Linked DNA regions of Canis lupus familiaris. The protein of the gene in region 3 purifies or fractionates together with the protein of the main gene of each other region. This does not show direct contact. Links are inferred from orthologs where the notes say so. Each region holds a gene or a part of one and is shown on either strand. Other genes may lie near its edges.

Region 1 (3,721 bases), on a different chromosome or scaffold from region 3:
CTGCTCACAGCCTCGCACCACACAACAGCAGAGGTGGCCACAGGGCTTGGGGTTGATCATGGTGGGGACATTCTCCTTGCTCTGGAGGTTTGTGAAGTAGAGCTTTCCCCGCTCGGCCTTCTTCCTGTGAGAACCAGGCGCCCAGTCACCCGCCGCCCAGCTGGGACTGCGAATGACTGGAAGGAAGGGTCGGAGCTTGGCTCAGGGGTCATCTAGGTCCACTCCCTAAGGACAGGGGGGTGAGCTTGGAATGCATGGTTCAGATATGTCCCCATTCAAGAGTCTTCCCACCCATCCCTTGAGGGCCAAAAATTCTTCCTATGGTTTGACCTAAATTTCTTATACTGTAGCTAGAGAAGGGGATGTCCTCAGATGAGGTGGGGATGGTGGACACCTTGCCTCTTGCAACAAACTCGAATCTCCAGGGCTTGCTCTTCCCAGAGCTGAACTGACAGGCACTCCAGGGGTTGAATTAAAATCACATGCCCTGGGAAAAACCTGGAAGGGGAGCCAGGTGCCTGTGGCAGCCAGGATGCCCTCCACAATAGGCAGGGGTCCCTCCAGTGTCATCCCCCCATTACCTCTCTGCATCGAGGAACATAAGGCGAGCCACATTGTAACACGGGCGAGCTTCAAGAACCGTGCAGTTGGGATAGGCCTCCCTGAAACACAGTCCACCATCATCTTCTGCAGGGACTCTGCCCAACAGCGCCCCCTCCCGACTTGCAGCCGTGACCTCATCACCTTTAAGACCTACATCCCCAATTCAAGCTCCCTCTCTCTGGTCTACAAATATGGGAGTTCCATATGAATAAACCTTTGAAATTCTTCCCCATGTTTATGTGAGTAGCGGGAGGAAATAGGAGGGCACGGGGACTTTGCACACTCCTTAATGACCTGGGATGACTGTATACCTGTGTGGTGCTAGGGAGGCCACGGCTGGGGGCTGATTCCATGTCCAAGCTCTAAACTTCCAATTGAGAGAAACTGTTTCTACTCATGGGTTGTTCTCTTAACCCTGTTTCTAGAATACCTGGTTACAGACCAACACAGCCTTGACCATGAACTGACTACAACTTACCCATAGCCCAGTCTACAGAATGACTCCTGCCCCAAGACTGACCAAAGACTGATCCTGAACCCTGACCTGAAACTGACCCTTTACCTGGATCCAAATCACCCATAACCTAGACCCAAGACTGACCTTCTAACCCTGACCTGAAATTGACCTTAATCTTGCCTTGAAACTGAGCAGAGGGAAACTGTGACTCTCAGTACTGGTACCTGGCAGGACTCGAGAGGTGCTTGTTGATGGAAGGAGCAGTTCCTTTTTACTTTTCATCACACACTGCTCCCTCCCTGCTCTCTAATCTAGACTGAGCCACATATTTTTTTTCTTAAGATTTTATTTATTTATTCATGAGAGACACAGAGAGGCAGAGAGACAGGCAGAGGGAGAAGCAGGCCTCTGCAGGGAGCTTGATGCAGGAAGACCTGAGCTAAAGGCAGATCCTCAACCACTGAGCCACTCAGTTGTCACTGAGCCTTGTCTTTAAAAAAAAAAAAAAAACTTTTTAGGGGCATGTGGGTGGCTCAGTTGGTTAAGCATCTGCCTTTGGTTCAGGACATGATGTCAGGGTCCTGGGATTGAGCCTCATGTTGGACTCCCTGGCTTGTGGGGAGTCTGCTTCCCCCTTCTTCCTCCCCCTTCTTTGTTCCCCATCCCCCCAAATGAATAAATAAAATCTTAAAAAAAAAAACCTTTTAAATAAAGAACCACCAAGTGTCACAGAGGTATAAGATCTAGTTCTAAAGTGGACCATGCAAATCCATGAGAATTTGGAAACTTCAATCTGGGATGGGGTCCTTGAAATGCACTGTAGACCTTTTCCCTGTTGCTGTGTTGTTCCAACTATTTTAGGGTTCTTCTTCAGAAGGACCTTCAGCCCTGTGGCAGGCTGAGCCCTCATTCTCACCCAACTAATCCCTAACCCTCTAATCCCCACCATGCAGGCTTTCTGATTTTGCATACAGGATCTTCCCTAGTTCTGCTGGGGCAGCCTTCCAATCCAGACAGACCCCCAGACTTGGATCACAAACCCTACTCATACATCACCATACATCAAGCCTGGGCCAACAGCTTAGACACAGTAGGTGCTCAATAAACATGTGCGGAACGAATGGATCAATGAGATGATTGCTCCCTGATACTCAACTCCTTGGGGATATTCTCCAAGCTCCAATTAGGACTATAGTCTCCCCCACTCCTGTTCAAAGGCTGACCACTAATTTTAATCACAGTTTGCTTCCTAAACGAAACCACAGACTGACCCCTGAAACAGAAAGCCTCAACCATGAGCTCCCCACAGGTACCCATCAGGTCTGGTATAAAGTAGGTGTATGACAAATGTGTGCTGAATGGATGCTTGGTTAGCAGGGTTCACTTCCTCATGGCATGCAGGGCCCTGTCAGAGACCCCCTGCCCACCCCAATGTTTCCCCAATGGAAACACACCTCTTCCTGACTCTACTCTGTTTCTCTCACTGCTTTAGTTTTCTTCTTGGCACCTGACCCTGCTTGACATGGTACCTATTACTCATTCATTTGTTTCTTATCTGCCTCGCCCACCAGAATGTGAGCCGATGAGGGCAGAGGCTTTTTCTTTTTTTGTTTACTGCTGTAACCCCAGCTCCGACTCCGGTGTAGGCACATGCCAAGTACTCAGTAAGTATTTGTTATTAAAGGCTTACCAGTACAAGCTGACAACTGATCCCAACAGGACGGTCATATTAAGATGTCGCCTAATTCTGAGCACACACTGTCCTTAATCCTGACCCAGACTGCCCCCTAATGCCGATCACAGCTTGGACTCCAGATAGGATCCCAAGTCATTCTCCTACCGACCGAGGATAATCTAAATTTGATTTCTGTTCTTTAACTTCTATGAGGGTCTGGCCTGTTTCTAATTTGTTAATACTTGGGGTATAGAAGGTGACAATAAATGCATGTGGAACAAATGAGTATCCATTCACTATTGCGGATCACAAACCACTCATTTACCTGCAACAAAGGGATCTGTGATCTGAACCTGACCAGAAACTGACTCTCAAAAAAAAAGAAAAAAAAAAAAGAAACTGACTCTCGATCCTGTTCTGATCCAGGCCAACTGACAGTGGATCTAGACCTCACTGAGTCCTTGATTCTGACCACCAATGTCCCTTATCAGGGCCACTGGCCAACTCCTAATTCTGGTCACAGACCGACCTCAGACCAAACTCTGATCAGACCTTGCATCAGCTCCTAATGCTAACCGCCACCATGTGAATCCCGTGAGTGCTCAATGATCTTTCATTTATTTCTAGGGTCCCAAGGCTCACCACAGTGACTTAGCCCTAATATTGTTTGAAAAAGTCTGCTGAGTGTACAGATAAATGTATGACAGGATCCCTAATCCTGTACATGCACTGTTCCAACCACCTGGCACTCCTGGAGATGTATACTCCCCTCTCCACAAAACAACTCCAGAGGTGAAAAGAGCCTCAGGGAACATGTAGCTCAGGTTTTCAGGGCTCCCTCAGGACCCAGTGAAAACCAAGGAGCTCCCCTCTGCCAGTCTGCACACAAACCCCAGCATGTCACATAAAAGTTTGAAACCACACATCTCAAGGGGCCTATGGATCCTGGTCAACAACCCATGACCCAGTTCAAGCCAGGAGGGGAG
Region 2 (3,721 bases), on a different chromosome or scaffold from region 3:
TTTAGGGGAGAAACGAATAAAAATAAGTCATTCATTATGCTTAATCAATTCTCTCCTTTCTAGTTTGCATCTACTACAACACAAAGTGAAAACTTTGTGGAAAGTTCAGAAGAGACTGAAAGGAAGAGGAAAAGTAGGAACATAGGGAAGATTTTGTACAGATATAATCTATAGTTCTGAATATTTTTTTCTTCTTATTCAGATACTTACCCAGGAGGTAGAGGTTCCGGTCTATCCCACGTTGTTCTTTTTTCAATATGATCTACATAGTAAACTCGCCCATGCTGGTCCACTCTCTGTTCCCAACTTAAATACAAAATTTAAAAGACTGGTATGGCACTTATCTTTGCTATTTTCTCTAAAATGACCATATTACAGAATTGAGGCAAATAAGCATGTCAATATATAAAAAAAAAGATACCAAAAGAATTTAAGAATAAAGTCAAGAAATGTTATCCTGAGTGAATAAGATTTCTCCTGCAGCAGTATCTCCTCAAGAGATGCCCTGTATTCCTCAAGAGGTCTGAGGCAGATGCATGTAGGAGACGATGTCTACCTCAATCTGATCATGGCATAACTTGGTGGGGGAAAAAAAAAGCTGTAATTGTTACGAAATCTGAAGAAAGATTGAGCTAACTGAAAGGCAAAGCACTATTTGTGTTCCAGAATTGAAATCAAGTATTAAGATTTGATCAGATATGTCTCTGCACAGTCTAACAGACAAAATCAACTGGGTATTCTAGTCTCCTTTGTAGGTTCCCAAAGTGAAGAAGACAGGCATATACCATCACAGCTTAGAAGTACCATGACTTCAGAGAGCACAGGTTTCTGTTTGCTAATCCCTTACATAAGTAATTTTCTAATTCAGCTTCCTATGTAGGTTTTGAAAAAGGAAAATGGCTCAACTACCCAGACAAATAATATCTGTTTAGCAATTAAAATTTTCACCATAGGTACGTCTGGGTGACTCAGCAGTTGGGCATCTGCCTTTGGCTCAGGTCATGATCCTGGGATCCGGGATTGAGTCCCACACTGGGGTCCCTGCGGGGAGCCTGCTTCTCCCTCTGCCTGTGTCTCTGCCTCTCTCTCTGTGCGTCTCTCATGAATAAATAAAATCTTTTTAAAAAATTCTTTTCATCCTAAGGGTTTATTAACTTATCAGCCAATTAAGTTTAATTAGATTCCAAATTCTGGATTAACTGAATACCACAATGTATATATGTATGAAACTATTACAGTATTACTAACTTTTAAAATAATTAGTAGAGATTAAAACGGGAGGAGTACTAATTTTCTTAGTTCCTTAAGTTATTGCTACTTTGCTATAATGACTGTATGACAGAAAAATTTTATTTTAAAAAGTGTTTTTCCCCCCTTCAAAGAGTAAACAATCTGAATTAGGTGACTTTTATTACTTGGCACTTTAACTTTCTATGGTTCAGAGTCCTTCCATTTAAAAACAAAATAAAACAAAAAATAGCCACCTTTGCCCTGAAAATGAGGAGGGCATTGATTTTAATGTGGTGAGGTTTTTTTGCTCAGTCTGACTCTAGACACAACACCCTCAAGATCAGTTACCATTGTTTGAAGATGGTAGTTTGTTTTTTGGGTTTTTTTTTTTTTTTTTTTTAAGATTTTATTTATTTATTCATGAGAGACACAGAGAGAGAAGCAGAGACATAGAGGGAGAAGCAGGCTCCTCCCAGGGAGCCCAATGTGGGACTCAATCCCCAGACCCGGGATCACACCCTGAGCCAAAGGCAGATGTTCAACCATTGAGCCACCCAGGTGTCCCTAAAGATGGTTTTCTAAAGAATGGAATTATTATTTTCCTTACTAGTTAAATATATGCAGAAGCCTAAAGCAAACAAATATTAACTAAAAACAGTTACTTACCCAGGTGGTAGGGGAGCCTGAGGTACAGGATTTAATGGCCTAGGGCCTGAGCCTCCAGATATAGTAAGAGGAATTATTAATCCAGATGTTGCTCCTTCAGATGTATTTGAATTTATATTTGTTGGTGGCAGAGAGCCTGTACTGGATCCATCACTTTCAGAAGTGGCAGATGGTGAACCATTGACAGATGCTATAAAAGATTTATGGAAAACAACCATCTTTTATTCTCAGAAATCTAAATTCAAGATAGAATTTAGCTTTAAAAAATAAAAAAGTAGATGACAAATAGAAAGTTTAAGATGTGGACATGCAGATGAAAATTAAACTTTTAAAATAACTTTTTAGGTTTCATCTACTGCATGTCTCTTTATTAATCCTAAAGCACATACGAATTGATTTCCCGATGCCACAAGAAATAAAAACTTTAAGAATAGGAAAGCACTGGTATCCTTTGGTATTATAAGTTCATTTCGCAATTTTCCAGAACCTTAAAATTGTCTTTTCTACAAAACCCTGCAGATCAAAGACCAAGTTCTGATGTTAAAATACAGAAGACCTGACTGTTAAGCAATAGCATTCATACAAATAGTTATAAAGTATATATTACATATTCAAGAACATTTGACACAATTCCTGGGAGAGGTCACTAATATTTTGACAAAATAGTATTTGATCTTAAAGACTAGGAATATATTAATACATTTTCTACCAAGAAGGGGGAGAGGGGGAGTTGTATAATTAAACACAAATTCTTTTAATAAAATTACTTGTAGGATGACGAATTTGCTTTTCTAATAATATCTGGTTTAACTCTTTTATACTGCCTGTCTACATAGTGCCAGAGGGAAATAATAAAAGATGAAAGATTCTATCCTGACTAATCAGGAAAAATGGATATTCACTTACAGATGTTCACATTTTTACTACATGAAATATGTTCACTTGTATAATTTTTGCTTCAAAATGTGACTATCATTTAGCATTGTTGGGTTACTCGCCATTTACTAAATGTCTTTTAAAGGATATAACGAGAATAAGCAACCAGATCCTTTACAATATGAAATGCTATGTCCACACTGTTACAAACCCTGCTGAAAAGATAAAATCTTATCTATACTGCCTATACTTTTATAATGCACATATGGATCTCATTTTTTCCCTCTTTTTCAATAAAACACTTACCTCAATAACTTCACCCCTTGGAGGTACTTAGGGAAAAGGCACACATTAGTCTACTTCTAGAAAGATCATTCCTGGCTAAAATCTTAAATGTAAAAATATGGCTAGAAAACCTACCTAAAAGGATCTCTTAACACTTACCAGAGGATCAATTCCCAAATAGAACATTATTTACAATCATAGTACTGACAGCCACATCCGTATTACATGGCTGGAATACACACCAGGTCTACGTGGGGTAGGTGGAGGTGGTCGTGAAGGTCTTGGAGGCCTAGAAGGTTTAAAACCACCATTTGAGAGTGATGGAGAATTATTTCCATTGACCTTCCTATTTTCACCAGTCCCAGTATCCTCAGGCTCATCTGATCCATTTGTGTTTGTTCTGGATAAGGAGGAGGGAAAGGGAAGGGAAAACAAATGCTCTTTGAATTTAACAAAAACAAGACCAGAACTTAAAATTGCTGGCCAGTCTCATCAAATACATAGTCTTTAGGTAGAGTCTTATGTATAACCTCAGAGCCCACCTGGATAGAGTGAGGGGTTGCGCAAAGGCACAGAAACACTTGTGATCCTTCAAAACTATTAGCTATGGGGATTTGGGTTTCAAGTAAGTTCTTTGGAGGCCCTGTACAAGTAGGAACAGAGT
Region 3 (4,023 bases):
AGCCCTTCGAGTGGGACAGCTTGGAGATGATAATGCAGTAGCAGGACAGGATGACGATACCCGGCAGGATAAGGCCAACCATTATGTGCTGAAACTGGAACACCACCAACCATGAGTCATTGGGATAGAAGCGGTCACAGATATACCTGTCATCTGCCTCCCTGACATTGGCAAAGATGAAATCGGGAATAGTCAACAGGAGAGCAGGTATCCAGACGCCAACGTAGACCACCTTTTCCGCCAACAGCTTCCTTGGCCTCTGACTGTTGGTGGCATGGACAATAGCCAAGTACCGGTCCAGACTGATGAAGGCCAGGATGAGGACACTGCTATAGAGGTTGACAGTATAGATGACATGGACCGCCTTGCACAGGAAATTCCCGAAGTACCAGTTTGCCACAGCCTCAACTGCCCAGAAGGGAAGTGTGAGGACAAAGAGGAGGTCTGCCACAGACAGGTGCAGTCTATACTTGTCTGTCATGCTTCTCAGTTTCTTCTGGTAACCCATGACCAGGATGACCAATCCATTGCCCACTATGCCAGTCAAGAAGATGATGGAGTAGACTGTGGGCAGAAAGATACGGTTGAAGTGAGCATTTTCCTCCCGGAAGCAGGGTTCCTTCATGGAGTCATAGTCGCCTGAGCCCAAGTCCTCTTCTGTGTAGTTATCTGAAGGGTATATCTGCAAAAGAGGCAAGGGAAGGGATGTTAATTTTCTAGTTCAGCTGGCATTCTCCAACTTAAAAAAAAAAAATGTTTCTGCGATTTTTAAAAAGTAATTTATAAAACCCAAGTCAGCCCAGGCTTCTTCGGGACACTCTGCTTCGGATGAAGTAGTGAATGGAAGGGCACAAGAGAATTGTTATAGATTCCTGCAACCCTCCTCCTCATCTTCCCCAGAGTCACTTGTTATATCCTTCTTAAGTAGAACCAATTACAAAATCCTTTGTTTAGAACAAAAGGGCGCTGAGATTCTGAGTGTTTGAAAGTCACATCTTTGCTAACTCTTCTACCCCACCCACGGGGGGGGGGGGGGAGAAAAAAACCTTGGGAGGGAAAATACCAAAACAAAACACAAAGAAGCCACTCCTAGACTGTGCGCCCTAGGGAGTGGGAGAGGTGGGGTGGGGGTGGGGGGCAGGCGAGGAGTGGGAACAGAAGCTTGAGTTCCGAGGAGCTGGGATTAATTTTCTATACGAAGGTTTCCCCAGGATAGGGAAAAGGGAAAGAATGAGTATGGGGGGGGGTCCTCAAAACTTTCTCCTAAGGCACAAAACATTGCCTTCCCCTCGTCCATGTAAACACAAACCAATCTGTACTTCAAGCAACACGTAGTGGGGAAGGAGGCTACAGCCTTAAAGGAAGGATCTGTGGCGCGTGGGGTGAACAGGGCTGTCACAGGAGGGTGCGGACGCGCACAGCGCCTGGGGCTTGCGCTCCTCCGGGCGCGGGCCTCTCCGCCCGACCGTCTACCTCTTGGCGCGTCTGCGGCGTCGGGGAGCGCGGCGATTTACTGCGAGGGGAAGGTCACGGGGTCTGCACTCATGGTCCTCGCCCCGAGTTTCATTTCCTCACCCTCCCGGGCCGCTTCCCACCCCGCCACTGACCCAGTAAATGGGGTCGGAGGTCTGCAGCTGGAAGCCTCGGGGCGGAGGGCGCCCTGAGGCCGGGGGGGGGGGCGGGCGAACCCCCGACCTCCGCGCCTGCCCCGCGCCCACGCCCACCAGCGGGCGCCGCGGCTCCCGGGGTCTCGCCCAGCACCTCGCCAAGGGCAGGCTCACAGGGTGTTGGGGAGCGAATGGGCGTCTCCCCCTAACAGCCTTTGAATCGCGCGCCGCCGGGGGAAACGAAAAGCCTTCCTGGTAAGGGGTTTTCAAAAGTCTCCAGGAAACCACCAACGGTTCAACAGCGCATTTGGGATCGGCGAGTGCCAAACGGTCTCCCCGCCTGCACCTGCCCGTGTGCGCCGCGCACACCCGCAGCCCAGGTGCCCTCGCAGCCTCCCGCGGGTCCCCGCCGCGCACACCTCCGCTCCGCCGTCGGGGCCCGGGGCCGCTCGCCGCGCTTCCCACGGCCGCTCCCCGCGGGGCCGAGGCTCAGATGCCCGCCTCTCCCGCCCTCTGCTCGCCGGCGGGGGTCCTGACGCAGCCCGCGGGCTGTGCAGAGCTTAGGGCCCGCGCGCCCACCCTCAGGGGCGCCCCCCCCCCAGCCTGAGATTAACGAGGGGCGCGGTCCTCGCCCTGGGAACTCAGCCCCGCGCGCCGCCCTCCGCCTCTAGCTCCAGCTCCTGTAATCACCCCCCCCCCACGCCTCCCGCCCCCCGCCATCCTCGGGCCGAGTCCCGGGACGGCGCGCGCCCGCTGCTGTGCAGGACGTTCTTGGGTCTGCAAGCTGTGCCGGCCCAGCGCGCGCCGCAGGCTCCAGGGGGAGACACACGCATCTCTCCTCCTCGCCCTACAGAGCCAACGATTCCAATCCTGCCGGGTCCTCCGGGGTCGCCACGCGCACGGAAACTCCCTTCCACGCTCCTTCCCCGGGACCGGCCCCTCCCACGCTCCGCTCGCCTCGGCTCGCTCCGAGGGGGGTCGCGCCCTAAGTTTTCGTGTTTGCGCGTGTAAGGAAATCAGGTCGAAACCGGACTTACATGGAGCTCTTCCATGGTAACCGCTCGCCCGCCGGCCGCCGTGGCTACCGGAGCACCCAAGCCGTCGGGGTCACTTTGCTACCTGCTGCCGCAGCCAACAACAGACTGTGAAGTTTCTGGCTGAAGCTGGACTTTTATAAAAACACGCTCGGCGGGCGGCGCATGCGCCGCGCGGATGGGCGGGCGGGTGGGGCCGGGAGGAGGGAGGCGGGGTGGGGGGAGAGGGGCCGGCGTGCGGGAGGAGGGCGCGAGGGAGGGGCGGGTCCCGCCCGGCTGCAGCCCCGGCGAGGTTAATTGGGGCAAACCTGGGAATCCCCTGAGCCGCCGCTGTGAGCTGGAGGTCACCTTGGGAGTCTCGGGCTGCGCGTGGAGGGCTTCCCGGAGGCGTCCCCCAACTTGGGAACGCTGAGCGCGCCCGGAGGGAGGTGAGAGGCGCGGGCCACCTACGCGACCCAGTGTGCATCCATCCTTGCTCACGTGGATGGAACTCCGGCCCCGGGAATGCTACAGATGGGGAAACTGAGGCCCGGAGAAGGGTAGTGAAGTAGCAGCATAACCCAGCCCGTAGGCGGCAATGCCCACGCGGGTCCAGCATGTGACTCCCTTCCCCGCGCTCTCAGCGGATGCAGACCGCTCAGAAAACAAAACGGTTCTGTCCTCGGAGCACAACTGTCTGTAAGCATACGCGCCCATCCCCAGTAACAGTGCCCGCATCAGGTGTGCAAAATACGGAAACACTTCCAGAAGAGGGTAGGATGATTTGGCGTAATCAAGGAGGGAGACCGTGCCGGGGAAGTAGGTGCGTGTTTGCAGGCAACCAGGTAGTGACAGCCGTCCTCAGACGTCCGTGTAAGTGCGCCTGATTAGGAGGGTGGCTCCGCGAACAGTAGTTTCTGTAACAGATCACGAGGCAGACTTGCACAGAATCACTCATTCATTCGCACAACAGCGATGCATTTAGCCCACCGGGGGCCGGGGCGTGCGATGCCCTGCTCGCGGCGCTGACCCGAGGACAAGGCCCCCACGCGGAGGAAACGGAGCCGGCTGGCGGCCACGAGGCGCGAGGGTCGGGATCCCAAGCCGGCTGGAGCGCACGTGTGGCCCCGTACCCGGCGTCCTCCTGCACTCGGCGCGGAGCACGAGCGGCCGCGGGGATGAGAAGTTAGGCGGAAGGCTCGGGCGAGGTGGGGTGGGGGTGGGGGTGGGGGTGGGGGTGGGGCTGGACGTTGAAGAGGCCCCGGCAGGCCGGGTTTGCAGGGGCCGCTCCCTCCCTCCCTCCCTCCCTCCAGGTGCGAGCGCCAGCCAGAGAGGGCGCGAGGGCGCTGCGACGCGCACCCCGGGCTGGTCGCTTGCAGACTGCAAGGCTTGCCCAGTCTGCA

The links.
Region 1: the proteins of C-X-C chemokine receptor type 4 (region 3) and TMEM63B purify together in Homo sapiens (co-immunoprecipitation; 3 studies listed by BioGRID and IntAct, with this or other methods). This does not show direct contact. The link is inferred for Canis lupus familiaris from reciprocal best matches to the Homo sapiens genes CXCR4 and TMEM63B.
Region 2: the proteins of C-X-C chemokine receptor type 4 (region 3) and ITCH purify together in Homo sapiens (affinity purification with western blotting; 5 studies listed by BioGRID and IntAct, with this or other methods). This does not show direct contact. The link is inferred for Canis lupus familiaris from reciprocal best matches to the Homo sapiens genes CXCR4 and ITCH.

Annotation. Positions count from the first base shown.
Region 1 is NC_049233.1:12,753,290-12,757,010, reverse strand, and holds part of TMEM63B (CSC1-like protein 2), read right to left. Parts: intron 663-3,721; coding exon 582-662; intron 125-581; coding exon 1-124. UniProt on the Homo sapiens protein: Mechanosensitive cation channel with low conductance and high activation threshold. Osmosensitive cation channel preferentially activated by hypotonic stress.
Region 2 is NC_049245.1:24,084,026-24,087,746, reverse strand, and holds part of ITCH (E3 ubiquitin-protein ligase Itchy homolog), read right to left. Parts: intron 3,458-3,721; coding exon 3,300-3,457; intron 2,087-3,299; coding exon 1,897-2,086; intron 307-1,896; coding exon 211-306; intron 1-210. UniProt on the Homo sapiens protein: Acts as an Acts as an E3 ubiquitin-protein ligase which accepts ubiquitin from an E2 ubiquitin-conjugating enzyme in the form of a thioester and then directly transfers the ubiquitin to targeted substrates.
Region 3 is NC_049240.1:40,353,757-40,357,779, forward strand, and holds the start of C-X-C chemokine receptor type 4, read right to left. Parts: upstream 2,801-4,023; 5' UTR 2,660-2,800; coding exon 2,645-2,659; intron 683-2,644; coding exon 1-682.